Drosophila melanogaster: one gene and its partners. The protein of the gene in region 4 interacts with the protein of the main gene of each other region in a pairwise test. Each region holds a gene or a part of one and is shown on either strand. Other genes may lie near its edges.

Region 1 (3,071 bases), 7.0 Mb from region 4:
GAAAGAGCGGAGCAAAACAAACCCACCGATGAGTGAGTTTGCTTTGAGTGAGAGAGCAGAGAGCCTGAGTCAACAGGTTGTTTTGCTGGTTGGGTCACTTAACCTCGTTACTCTTTGTATTCCTCTGTGGGTCACACGGGGCGTATGTGCAATATGGCTCACTCGGTGCGTATGTGTGGCGTATATGGCTCAAGTTTGCCGACAAATCGCCGACAAATTGTTTAGGAACATGGATGCTGGCTACGCACACGACTTGGATTACCAGTTGGGATTGTCTTTAACCCAGGCTGTGGGTTGTCACAGTGCGTATACGTGATTTTGTCTTGACTTTTCTGCAGGACAATTTGTGCGGATGTTGGCGTGCTTTTCTCTTTTCTTTCTGTTCATAATTTTGTATTTTTATGGTCATCCTAAGTTTTTTCGTTTCAAGGGTTTTAACATTTCGAACGTCTTAGAAACTTTCCCACAACTATAAACTGAAGAAAGAGACAATGGGTTTTGTCATTTCACCATGCAAATTTAATTGAATCGATAAAAAATATAAAACATTTGTAGCCCTGACCACCTTATTATTCCTTTTAAATGTGTGAGGTGGAATTGACAACGCATTAAATTAAGACGTTAGTAATCGAATTGGTGCGGTCTTGGATCCTATTTAAAATGGTTACTGGTCTTCTGTTATGTTTATATCAATAGAATCCGGCACATCTTTTGGATATTGCTGATTAAAATCAGACGCTGCAAGACTACGGTCATTCAGAACTTCTGTCTCGTCGGAACTCGGATCCAAGTCGAGAAACGCCTTGGAGATCATTTTGGGATTTAGTTCGGCATCCAGGTCGTTGTTCTCAACTATTTTAATCAAAATTTCCAGGAGCAATTCACAACACTTCTTTTCGTAGCCCATAACATTGGAAATGGCATTATGGATTGTGTCCTTCATTTTTAACAGCTCTTGATTCAAGTTTTCGATATCAACTAGAGCTTTCTGGGAACTGGCCAAAGAAACAGCAATGCGACGTCCCAGATCCTCGTGCTCCAGGCGCATATTGGTGGCATTTTCCCGAAGACATTGCAGCCAAATAGAACGCTTGGCCATTCCCCTCATGTTCATTGTGAGCGTACAAAATATACAGATTTTATTTGAATTTATTTTATGTGTGAATATCTGATTACTTTCAGGGCGTCAATAGTACTGGGAAACCTATTTTAGATCCATAGAAATGACACAGAGGCAACTGGGAATGAGTAGCCTGCTTGGGTGGCGCTACAATAAGATGACTGACATCAATTATATTAATTATCAGAGTAAGCCGATTAGCTGGCTAATGAATTAAACATCATGGGAATTTCCCGGCCCATCCTGAAGGCGACAAATCAATGTCACTTAAAACATATAATTATCATCATTAGCCGCCCAAAAGCATCGCACTCCTCATGAACCTAACTTTTATTACAGACTATTTTGCCAAGCTGATGGTGCTCGGTGTTGCATTCATAATTGATTGTCCTGTGGGCAAACGTGTCCTTTGCCTTTGCGTCCTTCGCAAGATAAGCACTTAAGCTAAATGAAAGCAGATGTCTTAATTTTCATTTAAGTTGCTGACAAAGAGATTTCTAAGCTGCTCTGTCAATGCCTTTATCTGCGACCTTCCTGGTTAATTTTTTATTTCGAATGTGCGAACGTAAATGAAAAAACGCTTGGTAATTGGTCAAAGCTCTTGATTCCGGTCCAAAGCAAAGGATTTCATTTTTAATGAGAAGCAAATATGTTCAGCCCTAATTGGATTAATGGGAAGTCCTGCGGGATCTAAACGGCTTGCGGTCTAGGTCAGAGTCAATGCGATAGGGGCGTTTTTTGAGTGAAAATGTTCGCTTTGTTAACAATTTAACAACTTTGTTGGGAATGGCTTAAAATTTTGTTGGAGAAGAAGGATTAAATCATCTATATGTGATGATGAAAAGCCTATTTATATATATATTATGTTATACTCGCATTCAAGAGATTTAAACACTAAAAGATCATATCTCTATATTCTAAGAGCTTTTCATGAATTTTGATTTTTATAATTAAAAAGGCGCAACTCGTTGTGAACATTGTTGTAGGCAAATGAAAAGTCCTTTTTAACCGGCACGATAATTAAATCATGCTCAAACAGAATTTGAACTGAAATCTCCATCATCGGTTTAACTTTTCTTCCGTTTCCTCCGACCGGAAAAAGCTCTTCCTTAGCTGTCAACTGGTAAATGCCGAATTCTATCAATTTGTCATTCAATCATTGCACGAACGTTGCTAAGCCGACTATGCAAATTGAAGTCAAGAGGCATTAAGTCCAATCCCAAAACTAAAACGCTACTCCATGACACAATTGTCAGGGTTTTATCGGCTTATTTCTATGCATGAGTGCAGACACTCACAAGGACACGTTTATACCCACACAAATGCAGAACACTTTTTGAAAAGGAAGAAGCTTTGGCAATTTTCCGATTATTTTTTCTTCCATGTCGAACTTATGTGAATGCATATATAAGAACATCAATCTTTTTTGTTAGTCTGAATTAAGAGAACTTTATTTCTGATGTGGATTGCAAATACTATTCGATTTTAAAGTCGAATTCATATTTAAGAGACTAAGGACGTGTTGACTTTTGTTTATAGTGAAGTTCAAAATGTACCTTATTTATTTATTTTTTTTCTTTTATATATATTTGCCTCAATAAAGAACCTACAAACACCTTACATATAAACACTATAAACCTGAATATGTATGAAAAAATAATTGAAACCAGTTTGATTGATTGGCTGAAATATAGCAGTTAACTAAGGTTCTGCGCTTTTGATTATTTTGCATCCCCATTTGGAGCTTTCTAAAATTGATGTGCGGTTGGCAGGTGATTTATTGCGGCTTGAAAAGAAAAGGGACTATTTATTTCTCTGCCTGTGCTTGCTTATCAAGTTTCGGCAAGGTCTTCATACTGCGACACATATTTTGTTGAAATCCTATGGTAATTCAATCATGGCAACCTTTTTCACAGAAACCAACATAATTGACGGAAAAATTCGATAAACC
Region 2 (7,457 bases), on a different chromosome or scaffold from region 4:
ATACTTGTGTGTGCATTCCGCCAAAAACATTTGAATGCCAAGTATTCAAAGCAATCTAAACAGGGCTGGGTGCAGGAATATCGGCTACCTATCATTCAACGTTAGGGTTCGACACAATCGAATGAGTGGCAACACTTAATTTAATGAATATTGAACCAGTTATAGTATCAATGAGATTTAGTTGAATGGCAAAGCGCAAACGTAAATGGAATCGCATACGAATGCATCGAGTCCACAATCTACACATATCCTGTGCACAATGTCAACCGGCTGACAGGACAAAGAATCATAGCAAAGCACCATAAACGGTCGGGATTAAGTAAATATTTTGTTACCCAAATCTGATGGAATTTACGCCATGATCCCTCGAGCTGTATTCTTTGAAAAAAACTAAATGGGTAAAATGTTTATTTTTATAATGGGTGGATCTGCACACCTTTAACCCTATCTAGATGATTTGAAATTTTCTTAATTTTGTACTTAAACTTATTTAAGCCATTAAAATATTTTTTAATCCCCAAAGTATATTTTTAATATCATAAGCTAGAGTATTCAAGAAAAATGCAAATCCGTGAACGAATTTTGTTTCTACTGCAACCATCGGCGGGAACCGTGGCACAATAAATATAACAATTGAAATGGCAAATACTCTGAAAACGGATTCCTGTATATGCACGAAATGAATCTCTAATAAAAATGATATTTCCATTACGGCGATTAAGTCGTCAGGACAAAGCACCAACACAGGGGCAGTTGGATGGAAATAGGGAATAACAGGATATAGAGGTGGAAAGCTTTTCTACTGCGGTCTTTGCCTGGTTGTAAGGATGAGTCCTGTGATAGGATTTTAGCTGCCTGCCATTATTTCAATTGTTGTTGTTTATATTCATTGGATTTTGTACCTCCTGCATTCGCTCTGTCTCTCTCTCTCCCTCTGTCTCTCTCCGTTTATGTGTCTTTCTCTTGCCCCTTACATCATTAATATGAGCGTTTTATGTGGATTGCACAATCGGCCTGAAGGTTGACCATAAAATATTTTCCAGCGCCCATCCGATGATATCAATTTTTACGGCTGACAATATTAGCCCGACATAATTATCAATCTTTATGGGTCGAACTGAAATGGTCTGCAATAAAATGCCAAACGTAGATCGCCGATAACGAATGTCCTCGGCCGCAGAAAGGATGTCCTTCTAGCGCAGAAAATGTTGTAACACATGTGTGCACGTGCTGATAAAATTAGCAATTCGAAACCATTTGTGGGATGGTGTGGTTTTCGGGGGCGGAAGGAAACCTGATATTAGCAGCAGATATATTCATGTCGGCTGCTCTCGGGCGTAAAGTCATGGAGCAGCCAACGGGGCGGATGAGTGTTGCTGCCAACGGGGCGAATGAGTGCTCTTGCCACTGTACCCGGTCGGGCCTTTGGCTGTTTTGCGGTCTATCTACCTCTTGGTTAGGAACATTTCCCACACCCATTCCCCATTTACCCAACCCTTCCCGTTACCGCTAGGGGTTTCACCACCCACCCTGCGCGTGTCGAAGCATCTCAGTTGGAAAATGGGTGACAATTCATGACAGGGCATGAGCAGTGCGCGTAATTTGCATATACGGTGGTGTTCGTTCATTCGTTTCGATGGTCGAAACTAACCAGGCGTTTGGGTTGTCCAGCTGTCCCGCTCTTTTTTTCCCCCTTTCACCATGAGCCACAAAATTCCCTGCCGTATTGGCCCGGCAGTTTTGGCATTGACTTGGCTGCACTTAGCCCCATCGCATTACACAATGTCCCCTCATTCCGGCTGCACATTGTGATAAAAATCCCCCTTCAATGCATTTTCCACACCGAAAAAAGGTGGAATATAGGGCAGCTAAAATAGAAACCTCTCTCACACATTTTAAATGCAAATGACACACCATGGCGGGCAGATAGTGGAAGAGATGGGGCAAGTTCGAGGTGTCTTTGTGGCTTGCCAGCCGGCAGATTAAAAGCGAAATTAGTTTTCCTCTAATAGGCTAATGCAGCTTGGTCGAAAGCAGTTAGTGACAGGATGAATATTTCATATTAACAGAATTTTAGCAGCTATTTCAGTTGTCGACACATGGTAAATGTACATACTTTCATGTAGAGTCCAAAAAAAATAATTCTAAAATTTTATTTTCTACAATTAGTACCAAAAATTAGTATCCACTTAAAATTTTGGCTATTCAAAATGGTTTCAGTTCTTATTTCGCCTGTTCTTCTTGCGCATGTGTTTCTTCCACTTTCTCCAGTATTTCTGGATCTTGATGGCTGCGCGGTTCATGGCGAATAACAGGACACGATGCTGGCGGTGCCTGGCCTCCTCTTCCTCTCGCTTTACGACGATCTGCTTGTAGACCCGCTCAACCTTCAGGAACCCAATCATGTATTCGTCGAGGGCCTTCTTAGCCTTTTTGTGTTCTTCGGCGAGCTCCATGTTCTCGATCATCTTTTCGCCAATGCTGTGATCGTATTTCTTGATAATGGCTTGTAGTTGTAAAATCAGCTTGTTTCTAAGGATTTTGGCCAATTGTTGATGTTATCTAAATATTGTCGGTCTAAAAATCCAGTTTCACTTACTTTTCCTCTCGAAACACCTTTTCCTGTTTTAAATAGTTTTTTGTGGTTAAGTTATAGTTGTTTCGCGTTTTTTGCAGCTGTTCTTCCAAATCAGCTTGTCGCTCTAAACTTAATTTTTTATTGGCCTTTACCAGACGAGTGCACCGATCGCTGAGAGTACAAACTGATAAGTTAAAGGAACATTTATTTTTTCTACGAGCATCACTCACATTTCCTTTTGGATTCGCTCGTTCTTCTCCCTCTTCTTCTTCATGAGGAGGTCCTCGTAGTTTTGCAGGTAGGCCTCCTTATCAGCCAAGCTCTTCCTGATGGCCGCCTTCTGATCCAGGATCTTCTTGCGCAGCTCTTCCACCTGCTCCTTGACCACCTCGTTCTGCTTGTACATGGCATGCAGCTGGCGCTCCTGGGCGATGGCGTCGGTGGACGTCCTGTACAAGCGGTCCTTGGCCAGATCATAGAGCATCTCGAAGGCGTTCAGCAGCTTCTTCTCGTTGTCGCTCATGTGGTTGTAGTAGCTGGGAAACAGAAGGTAGATCCTGCTGTTCCGCTGGAAGAAATCGATGATCTGGATAATGCCGTGATCCATCAGGGGCGGACGTTTCTCCCGCAGAATGAACTCCCTTCGACGAACAAACGATTCCACCAGGTGAACTGCCTTTTCGTACTTGGTTCCATTAAGAATCTTAGCCATGTGCGCGGGGTGTTCCAGCAGTTTCGGCATGATTAGCGAGATCTTAACCCGTTCGATGGCCTCGGCCAGGACATTTAAAACACATCCGATTTGCACTATTCTCACGGTTGCAAATTCTAGGCGCAGAAGGTGTAATTATGTGATTAAACATTGACACAAGTGTTTTGTGTCCCAAATTTAAAGATACAATGTTTTCTTATAAACGCACATAAAAGGTATTTGTCTGAACGCACTTCTTTTATATTGTAATTAAGCAGACTTTTTAAATGGTTGTAATAAACACAGAAGAATAGCTATTTTGCTATTTTAATTTAGAACAATAGATTTAGTTAAGTCTGCTTAAGATTTCTAAACACCTCACCATGCTGGGCCAGTTTGATGTCATTCTTCTTTTCCGCTGGCATCGATTTGCCCCGCATCATCTCCGTCAAACTCATCTTGCTGTTCGTGGTTTTTAAATAGTCTTTTGTGAATAATTCATTTATTTTTTTTTCTGATTAAGGTGCTGCGAAAGCAGCCTTTACTGTAAAGAGCTTGTTTTTATTTGTTTCTCGCTTTATTTTATTATTTTTTTTTTTGACAGCAGTGGTTTTGTGTGTCGGTGTAAATTTGTTCCTGCTCTGAGCTGAAACTCGAACTGCACTGTGATGGAAGTTAGCCCTGTTGCCTTGATCCCCTGAACGATGTGCCCAATTTATGTACACAAATTCGTATATTTACAAAAGCGGATCCTCGACACATCTATCTGCCACTGGGTTCGCTCCGCTGAGCTGCAAACTTCCTCAAGTGGAAGCTCTTGTTTGGACCCGAATCAAGTTGACATTACATGGCGTGTTTCAGTCGCGGACTGCGGACAAAGTTTCTAAACAAATGCCCCGGAATTTGTGACTACAAATGCAGCGCTTCCTGCTCGATGTTGGATGCACATTTTTTGCAGCTCTTTGTGCGCTCCTCTGTTCCGCTGTGTTGCCAAAAATTTATGGCTAACAATATTTTTGGCTGGTAAAGACGCATTCAGCTCACAGCACATGGCAAACAACTTGCTGCGAGTCACAGGCGAGGCACCTAAATAAACCGATTCGTGGGGGAGGGGCTGGCTGTTTTCCGGGGACGTGTTCTAGGCGGAGTTATTGAGGGAGTTTTTAGGGGCGTGGCACTGTTTCGGGGCGTAATTTGTATGCACTACTCGACCATCCTGCATCTCCGCCTCTGAATATGAATCCGAAACCGAATCGGACAGTATGCGCCAGTGAATTCGGTTTCATCCTGAGTTGTTTGTGCTTTGAATACCCTTTTAGGGGAAATAGTGCATCATGAAGTGCCCACAGTGTCGAAATTCCCACAACTAAAATCTTCAACGTTCGAATAATCATAAAATTTCTGGATTTTGTCTGTAATTTTTGGTCACAAATAGCAGTTACATTTGAGCAAGAAAGTGTATAATCTCTTCGTTGATTGAAAAATCTTGGCAGTTATCATTTTTTCTATCGCATTTTCCATAGCTGCTGTTGTTGCTCTGCGCTTATTGCATTTGTCTCGATTCGTTTGGCTCGCACAAAAACAAATTGCCGGAAGTATGCAAATGTTTGATGCAGCTTATCAGATATTGTTTGAGAGCCTTCCCCCGTTTTGTTTTGTTTTTTTTTTTGGAGTGGGTAGAGGGGCGTGGGCGTTTCGGGGCGTGGCATTTGGCACGGCGCTCATTTGCCTTGCAAAAGGCGCGCCACCAGTGAGCAACCAGCAAACAAGAGCCAAGCGACAGCAAATAACTTTCAGAGACACTTGCATCCCGAACACAAATAAAAAACCAGAAAAGTATCGGGAATTGAACTGTCAGCTGCAGCAGTACGTTGGGGAAATCGAAATTGAATTACATTTGCACTTTATGCTAAAGATCCATCAGATGACAGCAACGGCACATGGAGCGAGATAAAAACTAATTAAAAATGTTGCGAAACAATTTGGGGAGGAGATGGATGCCAGATTCCTGGAAAAACTTTAATTTAGTTTACGAATGTTCAGAAATATAGGCAAGTCTCTATCCAAGTCAATAATCTTTGGAATTCTTAAAAACTAATTAAAAGTGCTATAGAAACAAAGTTTGATATGTGTCGATCAGAAAAGAACAGAAAGCTAGAAAGTTATAGGGTTTACTTGAAAATCAAACACAATATTCCTCAGGCTGGATAAACATTTTTTAGTCGTAGGCATTTTAAAATCTATATACCACTTAAGTTTCATTTATAAAAAAAATCGGCAAATTAAATACGTATGCTTTGAAATATGTATACCTTCAATACCAAGTGTTTTTTCTAAATAAACTTAAGCCACAATGATAGTTACTAAACATAGAGTTTATTTGTGTTAAGAGCGTGTACCATATAAAGTGTATATTCAGTGATTTTTTATGCTTTTCATGTTAGTATTGAAATCACCAGCTATATGTTTTTCACGTAGGTGGTATATGTTTGTTCTGTTCTGGTGACCTTTTTTTGGCAGACCCCTTGTCTTGGTTCAAATTAATACATTGGCGAGTGGAACTCAATGTCATTTATCAACCCCGAACTTTCTGACATTTATGCTTTGTGACAACCAGGTCCTGGAGTCTAGAATTGGGCCCGACAAAGTTTCTTTCGACAGATGACACATTTTCCTGTAGCTCTCCTACATGAATGCTTGATATTTCCATATTTCTTCAGGGCCACTGGACTGGGCAGAATAGGGAAGAAAATCACCCCCTATTGATAAATGATGCTGATGGATTTTTATTGCCCGGTCTTCTCGGCTGGACAAGGGAAGATAGCTGGACCTGGATTCTCCGCCCAAGGGGGTTGGATTGGACCACATGTACGTATGACATGCTGTTGGACGGCTGCTTATCAACGGTTTAGCGCGGCTTGTGTGCCTGACAGGTGAATAAAAGCAGCTGTCAACACTTTTTTATCCCCGTTTTTGAGGTGTGAGTGTGCTTGTGTGAGTGTGTGCGCGAACTGAGGTCCATTAATATTGATATAGAATATATTGATTTTGCGCTTTGTTTTTTGCTGCCAAGGAGCATGCGAGGCGAGAGATTAATGCTTCTACGAGAATGCCAAGCGACTATTTGAATACAGTTTCTTGGCTATCGTGAAGGCTTGAGTTCTGCAAGCTGAAAATTAGTTTGTGGCTATTTTTGGAAAATCAAAGCACTTGCCAATGATTTGGCTTGCTTACCAGGCATATTATATATAAATTGCCAGGCCATCCATCAAAACACTCACAGCAAACGAAGACGTCGGTGGGAGGATGAAGGAAGTCAGAAGGCAATTTGAGAAACAACTTCAATGCCAATTGGCCAAATCCGAATGCATTTAATGGCCACAAATTCAATTCAATGGCTCAACAAGATGCTCAGCTTAAATCTGGGTAGAACGGGGCGTGGCCACTGCACTTCTCGCCTCCGCCGGTTGAAAATTTTATGTTTAATTTATTGATACACTCACCTTGCAATAAAAATTGATGGCAGAAACACATTTACACACCGGATGATGGCAGAGTGAAAAAAGCGTGGTAGGGAAGCGGGGCGTTGGCCATAATTTTTCATTTCATTGTTTTGTTTCGCAGCAGTCGTGGGAAAATACTCCGCGGATAAACCCGAAACAAAAAGCTGGCAAAGTGGCAAGCAGCAAGAAAAAAGGAGCGCAAAAGAAAATCGAGGGAAAATTCTTTTCTATGCGGGGAAAATTCATGAAATGCCCGACGGAACTGGAAGCGAATTTTTGTGATATTTATTTGCTGAGCCGGGAAAAAAAATGGAAAGAAACCGAGTTGCGAGAACTGCAATAAAGCCAAGCAGACAAAACAGACGGAAATGAAAGCAAGAAATAATGTCCCCGTCTCCAGTTCCACTTTCAGATCCAAGGAAAGCAGAAAGGAAAGTGAAAAGTTTTCCCAAAAGAGAGAGAAACTAAGCCGAAAACGAAACCAAAGGCGCAACGCTGTTGATTTTATTTTTATTGCCACAATTTATGTATGCACAGATCCGACGCTGCGTATATGCAACGCAGCTCTCAGCAGCTGCACATTATGCCAATAACTTGATAGTGCTTAAGTTGTGACATTGGATTTATTTCGCTTTAAGGCAGATCGAGGGAGCCGACAGCTGCAAATCATTTTTAAATGCTTACA
Region 3 (8,517 bases), on a different chromosome or scaffold from region 4:
GAACACGGTGGACTACATAAAGCGGACGGCGACACTCTCCCAGGATGCGGAGGTTATCCGGGCATGCGGAAAGGAGGTGTGCGAGCTGCATAAGCGCTTCGTGCGTGAGGTGGCCAAGCTGAAGAGCTGCGAGGCGGAGCTGCTGCCCTTTTTCAAACTGCTCAAGGATTCCGATCCGAAGACCTACTGCGAGTGCTGCTGTTTCAAGGGATACGACTGGATGCCCAAGAGCAAGAATCTGGAGGCCGTGGATGCAATGGCTGGCGAGATCAAGGAACAGATGGGCGACGTACTGGTCAGGGCCTTCGCTCAACTGCACATTCATTCGCCGCAGGATCCACGCGCCTTTATTGCCGCCTATCTGATGAATCTTGATCGTAACGAGCAGGAAATGAAGGAGAAGCTCGTGATTTTCCAAGCAGATCCAGCAGTGCAACCCCAGGAGCTTTCGGATCCCACATTCAATTGCGAGGATATTTGTCCGAAGCCTGAATGATATCATTATTAATCCACGATTGTATTCGAATAATAACTTTAAATTGGCGAGCTAAGTACACAGAATTTATTGCCACCAGCGGAAAAATTTAAATGAAAAGCGGCTTTCTTCAAACATTTTATTAATTCAAAATAAACACGCAATACATTTTGGGACATATGGTTTTCTACGTAGTAGTAGTTATATTTAATCCTTAGGTTTTCGTTATACAAAGGAAATCACATATAGAGCTGTTATAAACCTTATATACTCGGTTTGCATAGCCATCTAAGATCGGGTAAACAATGCAGCTTGGATATAAAGACGGCGTACGGTGGCTATGATTTATTTCTTGCGACGATTACGGCGCCGGGTGTTGGGATCCGGTTCCTTCTCTGCAATGCCTGTAACGGTGCCACCCGCTATCTCGGTGTTGGCCAACTTTTGCTGATTGTCCAAAAAGAACATAATGTCGCGAAGCTGTTCCTTTAATTCGGTCACCTCGGCGTCGTGGGTTTGCTTGAACTCGTTGTACTGCTGTTCCAAGAGTTTGTATTTGCCGTGCCAGGAGCTCTGGTTGCTCTGCAGTGCCTTGGACAACTCACGCTCTTCGTTCAGCTGCTTCTGTACATCCTTTAGCCTACAAGAGCACGAAATTGGTTAATATTTGGTTAATTAGGAAAGGCGATGTGAATGTATTTCTTACTTAGCTGTATGCTGGGCCAACTTGCGCTCCAAATTGACCTTTTCTTTCTGCATGTTCTGCTGAAGCTGTTGAAGCTCGGAAACCTCTGTCTTGGCGTCGTTGGCAGTCGCCTTGTGGTTCTGCCACTCCTGCTCCAATCGTTCCATGCGCTCCTCATAGTACTTGCGCTGTGTGTCCAGCTGAGAGGTCAACAGGTATGTGAACTCCATCTGCATGGAGTCAATCTTTTCCTCGCGCTCATCTTTCTCGGTTTGCGATGCCACCAGCTTGCCGTCGGATTTGTTTTGAAATAAGCGATGCACAAAGTTGTCACCGGCATAGTCCCATACGCTTGAGGTGCCCAACTGCATGGCAAAGGTGTGATTTGTGGCCCGGAAGTGTGCAGCAGCATGTCCTCCCTGGTAGCGTCCGCAGCCCACATGTCCGCAGATCAGGCAGATCCATAAGGAATCGGTGCCCTCGCATTCCATGCACACGGAATCTTCGACCAGTCCAGGAGTTTGAACATGGCGGCACACCGGACAGGTGGAGTCACCCCATTTCATCAGGCAGCTGGCGTGGAAGGCGTGATTGCACAATATGGTCAACACTCCATCCACGCTCTCGTCCATGCGCTCCAGGCACACTGGACAGGTGGGTAGCTCGGTGTGTCCCATTGGTGGTGCTCCATGCTCGCTCCTTTCCACCTCTGATACCCAGACCGCGTGGCACAGCGAGTCCGGTTCCAGTGAGTTGTAAGTACTGCCATTATAGGACTTGTAGAACTCCAAAGCGGATTCATTCGAGCGGAATCTATAAGAGTGTGATTATATTAGTAAATATCCGTGAATCTGTAATGTCAGATTGGAACGCCGCTTACTCCAAAAGCACCATGAACTGATTGGGGCTGCCGTCACGTACAATCTGGATGTGTTTAATCTCTGCATGACAGGGGGCAATAAAGTTCAGCAGATCGTGGCAGTTAAGAGTGGCCGGCACGGCCAGCAGGCAGAGTTGGTTAGATGGAGCTTCCTTGATGGCCTTGCGTTCGCTGAAACATACAGAAATAATGGTGAGTGAAATATTTAGTAGGATAGAGCAGAGTTAACCCACTTTTTCTTGTAGAGATGGATAAGACCTTTGGTCACCTCGACGATGGGATTGCCGGAGAAGTACCCTATCTCTTGGGGAAAGTTGGAGGCGCTGGCTCCCGCCTGGCCATCATCGCCGCTCCGAGGAGTTATCTCCCGGGAGCTGCCCGCCGAGGGGCTGTTCACATGCTGCACGGCGGCTACCCAGTTCATCTCCTGCTGTCTGGGTTCACTCAATTCCCGCTTCCAACGCTGGTTTGTGTACGTTTCGATGGTGATGTCGCGGGATTGGCGAAGTCCGCGGTCGCGTTCCCGCTCCTTGAGCACTCGGGGATTGGTTGGATGTTCGGCGGACACAGCTCCCTCAGAATCTGTTCGAAAATATAGAATTAATGCACTTCCTTTGTCCGAAGCTATCGTTGCTGCATTGAATTTTACCTGCACTGGGATCCAAATCCGTTTCGATCTTGATCACACACAGGGAAATGTTTTCTAGCATGACACGGGCATAATTTTCATTAGTTTTTATATATAAAAAAAAGCCTAAAGACCGTTCAAAGTGTAATTTTCTATTTTACTCTGTGCGAAATGAGTTTGTTATTTTTCTATGTGAACTAGTTCGCGCGGAGTGAACGGCCATCGATTGCTTCGCGACAAAAGTGTTTAGTTCAACAATCGCTTATCGATAATGCCTACCAACACTGATTGTAACGTACCTGGATTCAAGTCCATCGAAATTCAAAAGATTAAAATATTAATTTCGTGCTCGGTTTAGCAGATTTTCATCGCCAATAGAGAAAATGTATATTTTTACTCGTATGAAATGATAAGTGAATGGAGCCAATAAAATAAAAGTGATTTCCTGTGGAACAGTGTGCTATGAAGTAACATACAACTTGTCGGCTTCGCTTGACAACTTCGGCTGTGGCCACTTCGGTCGGATCCGCTTGGCGAGTTGGCCAAAACAAAGCCAGTGCGTTGCTGTTGCTGCTGCGTATCGGACGTGTTCGGTGAGCCAGACTCGCGTCATCCGTGATTTGGGCCATAACAAAAACAAGTTTACGAAACTTACGTCGTCATCTCGTTCTTTCCCGCGCGCGTAAACCAAGTCAAAATAAAAGAGAAGCAAAACAAAAAGGCTGTCCAAAGGAAATTGCAACAAATCAAAAACCAAAAGCGAAAGCAAAAGTGAGTGCAATAGTTTTTTGTGATTTAATTCCATACCGTTTGCTGCAGTAACCATGGGCTGCGCCCGCGGTTAACACAACAAATTGATTACCATGGGCGCGGCGGACCAAAGTCGATTGTAATTGCAATTACCAAGATTGGACCACAAAGTACATTTAACCGCACACACACGTGCAACATTCAATGTATGGACGCGGCCGTAAAAACGGTCATCGCAAGGAGTCAACCTATTGATTTTTGGTATTATTTATTAAGGGGTTCGCCCATAAACCTGCTTACCAAATTCGCAACTGGCTCACCTTTCTCACAACCGCACTCATATGCTAACAAACAAGACCGGAGATCAAAAATAGCCGTGGGTGCACAGTGAGAAACATTTGTGCTGAATTACCTCTTTTAATATATTTACTGTCTATTACTATGTGTCTATGTGTCTTTACTGTCTATGTGTCTTTGTAGTTTGAAATATTAGTTAAACCTTAAATTTCATCAATCAATCATAACTAACTCAATCAATGAATGAAACTTTGCGTTTCCTTGCCAAATATTAATATTAAACGCTCTCACCACTTTTAAGTGAAAGTAAATTTAACCTTTCTATGCAAAATCTAATTTATAAATAATATAATCTCCATGGTGCCGCTTTTTTGGGCCAGTGCATGCGTGTGTGAGGACGTCAGCCCGTTTCTGGGTTGCTGCTGACAGCTGCCAAGTGCCAGGAGCTTGTCGTCAACAAGTCTATCAAAAGCACGTTTGTCATTTTTGTTGCACTCGCCCAGCCAGCAGGTGGCACCTCCCAGCGCCACCCACCCACTCCATCCACTCCATTCACTCCACCCACTCGGCGTCTCACTATGTAAAGCGTGTGTGTGTCTGAGAGCTGCTTTTGTGTTCGCCAATTTGAAGTTTGTTTGAAACTACATGTATTGCCCCCTCGCTGACATTCATCCCGCAACGGCGCTGAGCACTCTGCCATTTTCATTTGCATTTTCGCCGTCCCGCTTTTCCGCTCTCCGCCTTCGGAAGAAAATCAATTGTTGTATGCAATAAACGCAAGGCGAACGGAACGAAACGCTGCCAACCAGTTTTTGCAGCGGAGCCAAAATCCGTTTTCAGTTTACATAAACCGAGTTTGACTCAAAAAAGTTGGCAAAACCATGGTTTTTTGTTTCCCTCTTGCTGTTAAATTATGCACAGTTTATATATAACAAACGGTAAATAACTAAAGCTAAATAGTTTATTGATTTCCCAAAAATTTCTTAGCATCAGCTTTCGCTAATAAAATTTTATTTAATTTAACTATGTTTACTTTTAAACAAAGTGTGCTCAGCTACACACCTTTTGTGTTGAAGGAAACACTAATAAATACTTAATTTATTGAGCTTCTTTTAATTACCCCGCTTATCCTAAAAGGTAATCAATTATTAAAAGCAATTTACTGAGAATATTTAATTAGGCTTAAAGCTGTTTGTTCCAGCCTGCAAATTCAATAAAATGAGTAATGTTTTTAAAGAGCATTTCTGCCAAGCATATTTAGTGCGAAATTAATAAAACCATTGAGCTGTGTATTATAATTAGATGTATAATAGAAAATCTATAACTACTTTTTATTCAATTTTTGTGTGCACTTTGTGTGAAACTCGTTTGTTTCAAATCGATTCAGCTGTTTAAAGCGGCGTCTGCAGCCGGATTTAAAGTTGCATCCAAGAGCTTAGTGACTTTAAAGCTTAGTTTTAGTTTACATTTCACACCTTGCAACAAGCAGCACCCACAACCCCCCGCCCCTCGTCTAGGAACCCCCCCCCACCCCTCTGCCGACGTCGACTGCGCTGCTGTTGCTTTATTCAAATTGAGTTGTTGTTTATTCATGCATTTGTTGCACTTCCCTACGGTTTATTGTTGCCCCAACACCAACGACGGCGCAAACACTCACATGCACTTGCTTCTTGTATGTTCATTTGTGGGGGGGAATCCCCCCGCTAGATGGCACCACACCCCCTCGCCGCCCCGCGCCACCCAACGTTCTCCAGGCCTGACATTTCTAGCTCGACTCAAGTGTCTGTTACGTTTAAATGTCGGCTCATAGCTACAGTTGCAGTTAAAATTACAAGCCAACTCACATGTATGTATGTAAGTAGATATACATACATACATACGTACATGTTGACATGTGGCATTTTGTATGTCTATATGCATAAGCAGTTTGTTTGGCTGTGTGCGAAGTTGGCTTGAAGTGCACTTTCACTTTTTATTCACCCATAAACAAAAACTGGCAAAACGACAATCGTGGTCCGTCTCTTTCACTCTCTAACTAGCCAGTTATATCTCTATCTCTTCCTTTTTCCATTCCCACTCTCTTTCCATCTCTTTCTGACTTTATTTTTTGGAAACTTCTTTTGGCCAGTGCTAATATGCAATCGGTGGGGGTAATCGCGTTTTAGTTCCCATTGTACCCATTGCCATTTCGAGCATTGTAATCCCAACACACATTATAATTAGAAACGTATTTGGTATCAATCAATATCATCTGGCTTAGATAAAGAGCATATTGAATGAAAGGGCAAAAGTACAGAACTCATATTACGCATACGCAGCGTTGTACCAAATTAGACCTGTATGTGGGAAAATGTGCTTTTCATGTATTTACGAATTCAGGCTAGGCCTAATCAAAATGCAATTAAACTTGGCTAAGCACCACAAAAAGGGAAACAGCCGAAAAATGAAATAATAAATACGCTCTTGTGGTAATTTCATTTTGTTGTAGTAGAATGGGTCAGACACCCAAGAGTTAGCTGGGATTAGCTTCGTTAATCCACTTTGTACTAATTATCTGTGAACTAAGGCAATCTGTTTTTTGTTACACATCCCTCTCTCCCTTCATACACACAATGTGTCCAATTTGATTGATTTGGTTTGGCTGGGGGAAACCTATCTTCTAAGCTATGTATTTTGGGGGTTTTTGGAACTTAAGCCATCCATCAATGTCAACAGATTTCGGTTGCCAAAAAAAGAACTAGGTTAATTAAAATTTTATTGCATTGTATTGTATGGTATATACAAGTAAAGAATCCCTAGTTACTCAATATTACCCAAGAAGTCTGTAATTGGAAAAAGTCCAACAGATCTATTACCAAATCCCGAAAAAAAGGGATAAGCAAACGGAAGAGAACGACGATGAAGAGCAAGGGAAAGAAAAGGGCAATCATTTCAATAATCCAAATAGCAATCAATATGCAACTCAGACTCCAATTTCCATGCCGCATTGGCCCCAAAGTTGTTTCGGTTCCATTTTCGTTTCACCATCCAGGGAACACCTAATAAAAGCTTATTTGCATATGAATGCCTCGTCGGTTAAGGGAATTCAGTGTGTAAATTGTGCAAAAATGCGAGATGAACTTCTTTCGGGTCGGCGCAATGGCAATGGGAACTTTCGGTGAGTTCTCCACCTTGCATCTCATCTGGCTGAATGGGTGTGGACGTGTACAGGAGATTGACATCCGGGAATGTCCTGGCCCCGGAATGCCAACTGCCTTCCAGTGTGTGTGTGTGTGTGTGTGTGTGCCTGTTTGCTCGTCTGCACTCATTTGTTTGTCCCCAGGTCGAGGATTTTGCATTCAAGTGCATCCATCCCAGGTTTTGTTGTGCACTTTGCCGGGTCAGCCGTTGCTCATTCGCCAGCTTCCCATGCCCTTCTGTCCGGCGGAATTGCCGTGCTGATGGTGATGATGCCACCTGCTGCGTTGTCAATGAAATTGCTCTGCATTGCAGGGACAACGCTGCGTATACGCGATGTGCAACGCCAAACAAACACGCTCTGTTTAAGTCGTTATTTTTTTGTTGTGCGCCACGGTTAAAAAACGGATGCTAAAAAATACCCTTTTGAAAAGTTTATGCAAAAAAAAAGCGGTTGATTTCATTATAATAGATAAATTAAATAAGGGTGCGCATGCAATTTAATAGACGGTAGATCAAATTTTAAACAGTATTTGAGGAAACCCAGTAACTAATAATATATAACTTTTTTTGTTTAATTTAATATAAATTTTATTTTAATTAAAAATGGTTTTTCCTAAAAATGTTTGGTAGATTGCAAAATTAAAATACTTTTTATGCTTCAATTTAAAGGGTACAATCAAATCGAGCTTCACAATTGTTGTACCCATCTTTTCACCTCTCCACTGGGTATTTGCATTGGCAGTGCGCTTTTTTGGCATTTTCATTCTCTACAAACAACAAACAAATCAACTTATTTGCCAGTTTCCTGCCCCTCTCCACAGCCTTGCGTTTCTTTGGTTGTTGGTGTTGGTTGCACGTTGTTTGCTTGGCACTGATTGAGTGCAGTTTTCGCATACATCAACTGCCAGCCGACACATACGCACACACACATTCGCAAGTCGGCCGGGTTTGACTTTGGCCAAAAGAAGAGTAAATTATGGCCACAAAAACGGGGTGGAATATCTTAAAGAAAAATAGAAAAATATGAAGCCTCAAGCACAAAAGAACACAAACCTGTTTCAAAGGAGAAAGCAAATTTAGCACATCACGTATATTACCACTAATCCCAAAAAAAAAAAAACAGGAAAAACTCTTTTGCTAATTGGAATAAATGATGGCCTTAATTGCTTCGTGGGCCTTCAACTCGAGTTCATTAAAAAGTTAAATTAAATCTATCAGCCATCAGATGGCCCTAATTCCTTTGGGACTTTGGCCTACGATAATCCTTTTCAACATCAACATTATTACCATAGCCATCAGGGGTCGTCAAATCGTTTCGAGTTTTAATTGAAATGTCAGAGTCTCGAAAATTGTTATGGTCAAAAAATTGAATTGAATTTTCCTATGCATATTTTATGGAATTTTGGCAATTTTGTAGTGTTGTCCTTGTCGTTGTCATGGTTTCAGTTTAATTGCCCGTCGGTGTTTTGCCTGGGTTTTTAGAGATTTTGTTGATGTTCAATTAGGAATAGAGATAGATAGATAAATAGACAGATAGTTTTATACGGAGATAGTTTACCGAACGAGTTATTCAATATTAATGTAATTGATTAGCAATCGTTGGCTGGCCGCTTCGAGTTACA
Region 4 (9,127 bases):
AGTAAAGCCATTATATTATTTTTTCATTGAAGTACGTTTGTGGGTTCTTATTGACTCACCTGGGGTACTTAGGAAAGCGCCGATTTAGTACCAGTTCACCGGCCTGTATCCGCACCGTGTCCCAAGTACCACTAAGCTGTCCAAACATTTTGTTCCCAATAAGCTCGCAAGTGTCGTCGAACTCCCCGGTCCCCATGGCACCGCTTCCTCCACAGGCATCTCCACTGGGCATGTAGTATTCCCCCCGTCCGTTTGGGCCGAGGAGCGTGAGTTCGCCCTCGTAGTAATAGTCGTTCTCGAAGACAGCAACCCCACTGCCTGTGAGATCGTCTCCGGAGAAGCTGCCCTCGAAGTAGTCGCCGCGGTTGGTGATGCAGCTGCCGATTCCAGATCGCTTGTTATCCGCAAACATGCCCATGTACTTGTCCCCGCTAACCAGATCCTCTATCACTCCGTATCCACTGCGTGCATTGGCCTGGTACTCGCCCACGTAGATGTATCGGTTGTTCCGCATCACTCCATGGCCGTGAAACAGGCCCTCGCAAAAATTTCCTTCGTAGACTTCGCTCTCGGGGGAATCCTTACAGTGCATTTCGTAAACACCGTGGCCGTGGAACCGGCCACCTTTAAAGTTACCTACATACAGCCCCGTTGTCGGAATCACCATTTTGCCGAAACCTTAGGAATAACGTTCTTTTAATGCTTTTTTCTATCTCTAAACTATCGTTTTGGATGATCATCGATAATTTACATAGGAGCTATATAACTAAATAACACCCAGGTCAATTATAACTCACCTTCAATGATCCCGTGTTGCAGCTCTCCGCAGTATACACTTCCGTCTGGATACTCAAGGTAGCAATTTCCGTGGAGAACGCCCTTTCTCCAGGTACCGCACGCTTTCACCCTGGAGAACTTTGGGTGTTCCCGACTAAACTCGTACCCCGTGGAGCGATAGCTGGGCACAGGACTTCCGAGAGGTTTGCCCAAGGACGCTATAATGCTCGATTGCAACTGGTCCAGCCACACCTTGCGCATCTCCTGCGAACGGGTGCTTACCAGAAAGGATTTTTCCGGCGTGGTCAAGCGCAGGCTGTCGCCTTCGGTCCACACCCACAGGGTAGTTAAGGGATACGAGTACAGCGAGTTGCCGCTTACCTGGCAGAGGAAGTCCGAAAAGAGAATGAAACTGTTGCTTGACCTGCTGATACCAGAAGTGACTAGTTTCAATGGAACCAAAGCCGACGTCAAAATAACCCTTCTGTGACGTCCTCTGAACTGCACAATCCTCGGGTTTCTATCGTTGCTGCTCCAGAAATCCTTGGTATTCACGGCGAGCTCCTGGCTGATGCAGCTGTGCCGCGCGAACTCCGACCAGGCCACCCTATGCTCTCCGTACTCAGATTGCGTCCTCACCAGCAGCTCCATAAACTGGACAAACAGCTGGTAGATACTGAAGGGTTGCTGGAACAACCGAGTGACGTAGCTCTCCTCGTTGAGCTCGGCCAGCGGGCTGCTGAGTCCAGTAATGGCGACCACCGCCTCTCCAAATCCATTGACCGAGAACACATCGCAATAGGCCTTTGTGTAGCCGTCAAACAGATCGATGTACTCTTTGTAATGACAGATAAACAACAGGTCGGCAGGCTGCACAAAGTCCGCTCGGTAGAATCCCTCTAGCGAATGCAAAGTGGCCACTAGCAGGCACAGTATTCTCTCCCAGTTGATCAGCAAGGGACCGAGGGCGCTGAGCGGCTCCAGTGCCGACTGTCTTTGCCAGATTTCGAGTGTTTGGACTGCCTGTCGATGCTTGAGAAGCAGTTGTAACTGTGACTGCAGATGACTCAGATAGTAGTGATACTGCCGCTGGAACTGCCTTTGGTTTTGAAGTGTGTATCCGCCAGAACACATAAGCAAACGTAGTTGTCTGGGCCACGCTGCTCCCAACTGAAGCTGGAGAAGCGTCTGCGCGTATGTGCTGGACTGCTGCAGATGTCGCATTGGAGGCGCAGGTTGAAGGGAATGTATTTGACCCGAGGCATTGAGCAGTAGTGTATGGTAGTCGCCGCAAGTCGCCTCAAGCGCCGAGTTTTGTTCTATGGGTAGTGCTGCCGTGTTTTCCGTAATTGTGATCTCCATGGGCGAGCTGACATCTTCACCCAACTGAGAGTGGTTGTTCAGGCCCCAGTGGTAGAGCCTTCCGTCCAGAGTGCGGGCCACCGTGTGCTCTAATCCAGCTGCAATGCTGCACACGCCCATGCTGTCTAGTTTCTGCAAGCGCATCACATTGGCCCTCCGGATATGATCCCCACTGCCCAGGAGACCATTATTGGAGGCTCCGAATGTGAAAAGTTGGGTGTGGAGCAGAGCGTATCCTTGGTGAAGAAGGTGCCTTGTGTTAGCCGCAACGCTGCGCTCCGAGTGGCCACTGCTTATGGATTTTACAGAGGCCCGTTCATCCTCGGGTTCTTCCTTCGCACTGGCCACCGACAGCTGGAGTGCATCGTCGGCCAGGTTGTAGGGAGCTACTAACATCACAAAGTGCTCGTTTCCGGCTGCTAAGTCCAACAGTTCCTTGCCCTCTTCGTAAAGGCGCATGTGCCGAGGCTGTTGTTCTGCCTTGAAGACTTCGCCGCAGCTGCCCATGACATAGGTCTCCCCACTAGCGCCGACGAAGACAACGCCCTGGGCGGAGCAGCAAACCCGTCGGATGCGTACGCCCTCAGCATGCAATTCGAGAGGGTCGAAACCGAGGGTTTGCCACGCATGTGGATGACCCACATCCCGGCCAGATCCCGTGGCTTGGCGCTGCACAGAGCCATTGGTGAGGACTACGAATAGTTCCTGACTGCCGGAGCAGAAGTCCATATCCACAACATCGGTACGCAGGAGTTGAAGATCCATGTGTTCGCGGTTGGCCTGCAGCTTGGCGGAGTAGAGGGCGTGGTCAGTGGTCAGAAGGAGCAGTTCCCCGCCGGCATTGCTGCAAATCCGGGATGCGGGAAACCGCTGCAGGGGCGGCAATCCGCGCCAGTGAAGCTGTAGCTCCCTGCCTTCATGATAGATGGTGAAGGACTCCCGCTCCTCCTGACCCCCAAGTGCCGAGTCATCCGCTGCACTGGCCATGATGTGCAAATTTTTGTTGGGGTTTTGGACAGGGCCAAAGCTTTGTAACACGACGCAATTGCTCGATTTGTCTGCAGGTCGTTCTCACATCGTGCACGTGCTCCGGTCCACGCTAGGCACTACTGGCACCAACGAACATCATATAACTTGATTCGGAATGCAACTCTAGCTGCCACGATAAAATAAATTCTGTTTTCACTTGTTCTTAACTGGCTAATAAGAATTCATGTTTTTGTGATGGTTTTTTGGATTAGTGTGACCAGCGCTATCGAGTCCCAATGAGAATTTATTAAGTAAGGGTGTTCGGGTAAAAGTGACGTTCTAAAATTGGGCTTATCACTATTTATTTGGTCCATGCAAATTGTTGTTTTATAACCAATTTTGAAAACACACATAATACCTTATACGTAAACTCAATATTGTAGTTAGCTAGAACTCTTATATAAATTTAAATAACTCCTTAGTTGCATTCGCCATAATCATGGAACCAGTCAACACAAAAAAGTTATTTTGGTATTTTTTTGCGATACATCAATTTGTTTTAATATGGTCATATTGTTTTTGCCATCAGCTGTTCGACTCAAAAGTTTTTGCATGTTTTGTTTATTTCGCTTAAAATGTAGTTTTATCGTTAATTAGGAAAAGTTACCCACGGTAAAAAAAAACAACCGTCAACAATTGTTCAGAAACATCAACTAGTACGACTCAGTGGACACCTCCGTGTGGTACTGCTGGTTTGCATACGCCCACAAAAGTTGTTTTAAGCCACAAACTCACCCTCCTAAAATAAAATTTTTTCAGCTCGGTTATGGATTTGGACTGCGAGGGCGCTACAGCTTTGGCTGACGACTCAGGGCACTTTAGCTGCACTAGCGATGATGGAGTAGGAGATCCTGCTCAGAAACCGGCGCCGCAGCCTGAACCGGACCAATCGATTTTTCTGGTGCGGCAAGAGCTGCTTCGGACGCGCAGTGAGGTGCAAAGGCTCTTAAAATCGGAGCAGTGGTACAAGCAGGAGCTTAAGTCCCAGAAGCACAGCAGGCTACAGACGCTAGAACGATTGTACGCACAGGAACGGAAGTATTTGATGGAGAACCAGAAGCTGCAGCAAGAATCGATCCGCCTGCACACACAATGCGCCACTCTGGAGAAGCAGCAGGAGCAGGGCTCACCATTTTCCCCTGGCTCATCGCCGTTTAAAGCAGACTCGGAGTCACACGACTCCTCTTTTGAGGCCAAACAGCAGGAGGCGCGCCTACGGGATCAGCGTCAGTTGATCGACGTGCTCCGAAGGCAAAAGAAGATGCTTCTGGACGACATCCAGAGGATCAGTCTGGAACACGATGAAAAACTTTCGCAGTTGCAGCAAACTGTTGTCGGCATGGAGCTGGAGAGCAAGCACGTGACTGGAAAATGCAAGCAACTACTTGACCTTAAAAGTCAAATGGAGCACCAGCTAGAGCTAAGAAGCACTACCCTACGCAGTGTCACCGCGGAGCGTGATCAGCTGCGCCAAGTCATTGCTGAGCTTAACGAGACGCTGCAAACGCAGGAGCATCTGTTAGCGCTAAAGGAACAGGAGTTCCTGGATTTGAAACAGTACTACCAACAAAAGCTGAAACGGGAGAGTAGCATGGAAATTATGCACTCTTATAGCATGAAATTTCACGAAGAGATCAACAGAAAAACGAGTGAAATTGCCAGCCTTAAGAATTCTCTTAACGAGCTTCAGGCCGAGCTGATGCTGATGTCTCACATGAAAGAGCAATGCGAGGAACAGCAGCGTCAGCTTGAGCAACTGGAGTTCGCATTGCAGGCACAACTTTTGGAGGAGACTCAACTTCGGCAAAGCAATGCTCTAAAACTGGAGCAGGTGGAAAATTTAACAATTTCTTTGGCTTCGTTACAACTAGATAAGGAAGGCTTAAAAGAAAATTTAGGTGAGGCGCAAAAGACCTTGAAAAATCTACAGCAGAAGGTGGACATTCTTCAAAAACAGTATGCCGAAATGTGCTCCTTGTGTCAAAAGACTAAACAGCAATTGGAACTGGAGAAAATCGAGATTGCCAAAATGAAGCAAAACGGTTCCTTAAAGGAAAGTGAGCTAATGGAGAAACTCAAAGATTATGCAGCGCAGTGTGATGAGCTGAGAAAAGCGTTGGCCGAAGCAGAGTCCCGTATCGATGTCCAAATCAAAAAGACAGAGGGCTGGCAAGTGCAGTTGAAACACAACCAAGCGACCCAAACGGACCTCGAAGATCCGATTTTAGTTCAACGCATTGAGACTTTGGAACAACAACTAGCGGATGTCAGGAGCCAAAAATTGCACACAGTTTCGCTGCTCCAAATACTGCTTCAACAGCAAGAAGCTAAAATCAAGAGCACTAACGAAATGGAAGCAGACTGGCAACAACTGTTAGATGCTCTGCAAGCTACTCAAAGCTTGGAGCAGGAAATGCGATCAGAACTACAGCATAAGACGGTTGAATTGGAGCACCTGAATGAATTGTTCGCTGGACAAAATGATGAACTGCAAAAGCTCCAGAAATTGAGCCAAGCGCAGGACGAGGAAAATCGACTAGAGTTACAGCTTTTGAAGAAAACATTCCAAGAGAATCTGAAGATAAACTCCGCTGCGTCGATTAACATGCAAAGGCTGCAAGGCCAGGTAAAGTCTTTGCTAGATGAGAAGGAGGAAATTGCGCGAGAAGAACGCAAAGCAGTAGAGTGTTTGCGATCTCTTGGTCACGTTCTTGAGATGGAAACAGGAAGGAGGCTACCACATATAAAAAGCTGGCCTCAGTTGGCCAAAATTCTTCGAAAGGAACTGCGAAATGGGAGGGTTAACAATCGAAAGGCTGAAGAGCTTCCTGGGCTTAAAATGAAGCTGGCGGAGATCAGCGGAAGGCATCAGCAAGCTTTGTCAAAAATTAAGGTATGTTATGTCTTACTCCCTTAAAGTAACTCTTTGTAACACAATTAATTGCTTTTTACAGTGTCTGGAGCACACTTTGGTAATGGAGCGAGCGCGGTTTGAGGCCTCGGACTCGGGCAAATCGACGGCTAGCAACACGCCCCAGGAACCCGCCCATGAAGTGGCTAATCTTATTGATGACTACAAGAAGGTAAGTATGTTCCCCTCCGATTGGCTTCTCTTGACATTTCCTTAATTGATTTACAGCTCGTTCAGCAAACCGCCAATGAAACATGTCGCCCTCGCAACAGCTTCATATTCGATCTGATTGAGCGGAGTCAGCGATGCCAACCGAATTTGTGCCAATTAGGCGAGGGTATTTCCGCCTGCCAGTCTGATATGAAGGAGCTAAGCAGGATTATTATTGCTGGTCGGGAACGGAGGAGAGTGGAGCCCATGCCCTCCCTCATGGATGAACTTCGAGCGGTGGCCGAGCACTCTTAGACGAGCATAATTTAGTTTTCAGTCAAATACTTATAAATTTCCTATTTAGTACCTATTTGTTTAGTCTCAAATTTTGTTTTCCTAAAAGGGGCAATTAGTGAATTGAGTTTTTGTGCCTAGTCTCATAGGCCTAATTTTCAATCAGATCCAACTTAGTTCAATTTATATAAATATTTATTTTGTTGTCTTTTGTGTTCGTTATCTTTATTTATGTGTAACGCATTCTGTTAGTTTCACCAATTCTATATACATACTAATTGCCAAACTATACCAATATTTTTTCTACAAGATATATAAACCATTGTTGGTTGCCACAAAAATGTGTAATTATTTTTATAGTCCATAACATTTAAAGTTAAAAACCTTGTGTAGATAAAACATATTTGTGTGAAGTCGATCAGTGCACATCATTTACTTTCGTGGGCACCTAGGGATTTTAGTACCATCGTTCTCCGAAATAACTTCCTTTTTGTCATATATCGTATTTCCGTTTTCATCCACGTCCAGAACTTCCTGTATTACCCCTTTTCGAGTTCGTGTTATCCCACACATAGGCTTATCGTTTTTATCCATGCACAAAATCAGGAGCTCAGTGTGCTGTAGATCAGAGGGCTTTAGGACCTTTGTTACCTTACAAGATGCCGTAAACTTTATGGGGCACGTCACCCCGGCACATTGCCAACCATCTGGGGGGAAATAATTATTAACATAGATGTTCCAATACTACTCGTATCCATGTAATCCATACACTTAGTCTTCTTTACCGTCGCTCGATTTAAGTCCTCATTTAGGTGCCGATCTCCGTCTGCCTTAAAATAAATGTACGATCCATAATACTCCATATACGGATTTACCCTTACCACGGTGTGGTCAGCAAAAGATAAAATGGCCAGCACTACCAATATTAAGGAGATAAAGATATTCATAGCTCAACCTTGCTGATGCAGTTTTCCTCTATGACTGATTGATTCAAACAAGTCTGCTGATGTATTGGATCAGCCTAATGTGTAATGTGTGTGTTCCACAGAACAAAGATACACCCCTGCAACTGAGTTCAGAATTTAATAACACTATAGTTTATATACGTTTCCGGACGTCTTACATTGGGAATTGTTATTCCTGTATTGTATTCACAATCAGTCACTTAGAAAGTCGCCTTGGAAGCGGAAACATGTCTTCGTCAGGGTGACTTAAGCTGTGGCAAATTGATTCTCCAATCAGAGACGGTGGCATTCTTTTCCATTCCGTTCGAAATGCATTAGGCGTAGGTACCCGACAACACCCTTGGCATTGTCAACGCCTGGAAAGGAATCCGGAGGGACCCGCACGAGGAGGGCGATCCACTTGGGTATTGATAAATGCGTTGAAAACTAAGCGACCGCCCAGTGGATTACCACGGCCCCACGCCAGGCTGCCCGATTCCCGATCCTCGACACCCCTCCCGCTGCCAGCTCGCGATGAGGAGCAATCGACAACAATCGCTGGTCAAATTCAATTGGCGCAATTTTTCATCTGTGGCTCCCAGGGATCCGATCTGGCGGATCCTTTTGGCTCTGCCTGCTGCCGTCTATTGTTGCCCTGGGCCTTGGCAATTGTTCTCGGCTCTGGATCTCTGGAGCTATGGGGCCATGGAGCCACGGGGCCATGGGCTATGGAGGTATATGGCTGCGGAGCCCTTGGGCTCAAGGTTGTTTATTTTGAAAAATCACCATCACCCGATCGTGGCTTGTGCCGACGGCTGGGGATTTAATTCTGTTCTGGACATTTATAAATTGCATTCAATTTATACACAACACGAAAGCGTGATTTTTACATTTTTACAATCTAGCGAATAATAGATCAGCGTCGTATTATTGCGGACTCCTTGCTCCAATGCTCTTTGGGGCCATACCTTCTTTGGGTCTCCAGCCCGTGCCGTGGACTGGTAGTTGATTGAAAGTAGTGTTGCTCAGGCAACAACTAAACCAATAAAATACGCAAATATCTATAATATTATTATTTATATATTCCGTTGAAATTGAAATTATCCTATCTTAATACTGTAAATATATATTTTTTATAATTTCTTAACGTCAACAGCAATAATATATAATAATATATATAATATAATGTAGTCGTAAACAATTACTTATTCTGTTCAGTAATGATACATTGTTGAATGCTTTTTAATGGCAATAGCCTTAAATTCGGCGAAAAGTTGAATAACTACGATTTCATTTCGTTTTTCATTAAAAATGTTGGAAATGTAAAAATTTCAGATATCTCTTAAAATTGTCTGTTTACCCGCATTGACACCCGTTCGAGGTCTATTATTATTGGAGTCCAAGTTCCCAGCCAGGTCCAGCAAGGTGGGGACATCGTGTCGTCCGTCCGAGGGTATCATTTTATTCGATGAGAGTGCTTTTCGCTGTACTTCTCTGGGACTCTTTGATTTTTTGATTTCGGTTCTGTGCATTGAGCAGGTCGCTCATTAAAGCGGAGTAGTAGGCGGGTGAGGAGTGGTTGAGCTGAGGGAGCGGTGCTGGCCAAACAAAAGGAATAAACATTTAATTCTCACCAAAGCGATTGATGCTGTCGAGGGAT

Evidence for each region.
Region 1: the proteins of CG11248 (region 4) and CG13476 interact in a two-hybrid assay, tested with the Drosophila melanogaster proteins (one large-scale study listed by BioGRID).
Region 2: the proteins of CG11248 (region 4) and CG1137 interact in a two-hybrid assay, tested with the Drosophila melanogaster proteins (one large-scale study listed by BioGRID).
Region 3: the proteins of CG11248 (region 4) and myd interact in a two-hybrid assay, tested with the Drosophila melanogaster proteins (one large-scale study listed by BioGRID).

What each region holds. Positions count from the first base shown.
Region 1 is NT_037436.4:14,703,587-14,706,657, reverse strand, and holds CG13476 (uncharacterized protein), read right to left. Parts: upstream 1,195-3,071; 5' UTR 1,115-1,194; coding exon 665-1,114; 3' UTR 501-664; downstream 1-500.
Region 2 is NT_033777.3:6,556,499-6,563,955, forward strand, and holds CG1137 (uncharacterized protein), read right to left. Parts: upstream 3,854-7,457; 5' UTR 3,728-3,853; coding exon 3,652-3,727; intron 3,407-3,651; coding exon 2,809-3,406; intron 2,750-2,808; coding exon 2,600-2,749; intron 2,533-2,599; coding exon 2,217-2,532; 3' UTR 2,120-2,216; downstream 1-2,119.
Region 3 is NT_033777.3:19,177,438-19,185,954, forward strand, and holds the start of myd (mayday), read left to right. Parts: upstream 1-3,221; 5' UTR 3,222-3,679; intron 3,680-8,517. Other genes in the region: CG14282 (uncharacterized protein), read left to right, coding at 1-496; CG5555 (uncharacterized protein), read right to left, coding at 821-1,115, 1,182-1,973, 2,041-2,211, 2,274-2,622, 2,690-2,743, 2,968-2,983.
Region 4 is NT_037436.4:21,676,373-21,685,499, forward strand, and holds CG11248 (uncharacterized protein), read left to right. Parts: upstream 1-3,677; 5' UTR 3,678-3,780; exon of another isoform or gene 3,781-3,860; intron 3,861-3,927; 5' UTR 3,928-3,934; coding exon 3,935-6,061; intron 6,062-6,122; coding exon 6,123-6,251; intron 6,252-6,307; coding exon 6,308-6,544; 3' UTR 6,545-6,859; downstream 6,860-9,127. Other genes in the region: Als2 (amyotrophic lateral sclerosis 2), read right to left, coding at 60-678, 798-3,126; Sfp78E (seminal fluid protein 78E), read right to left, coding at 6,956-7,230, 7,293-7,470.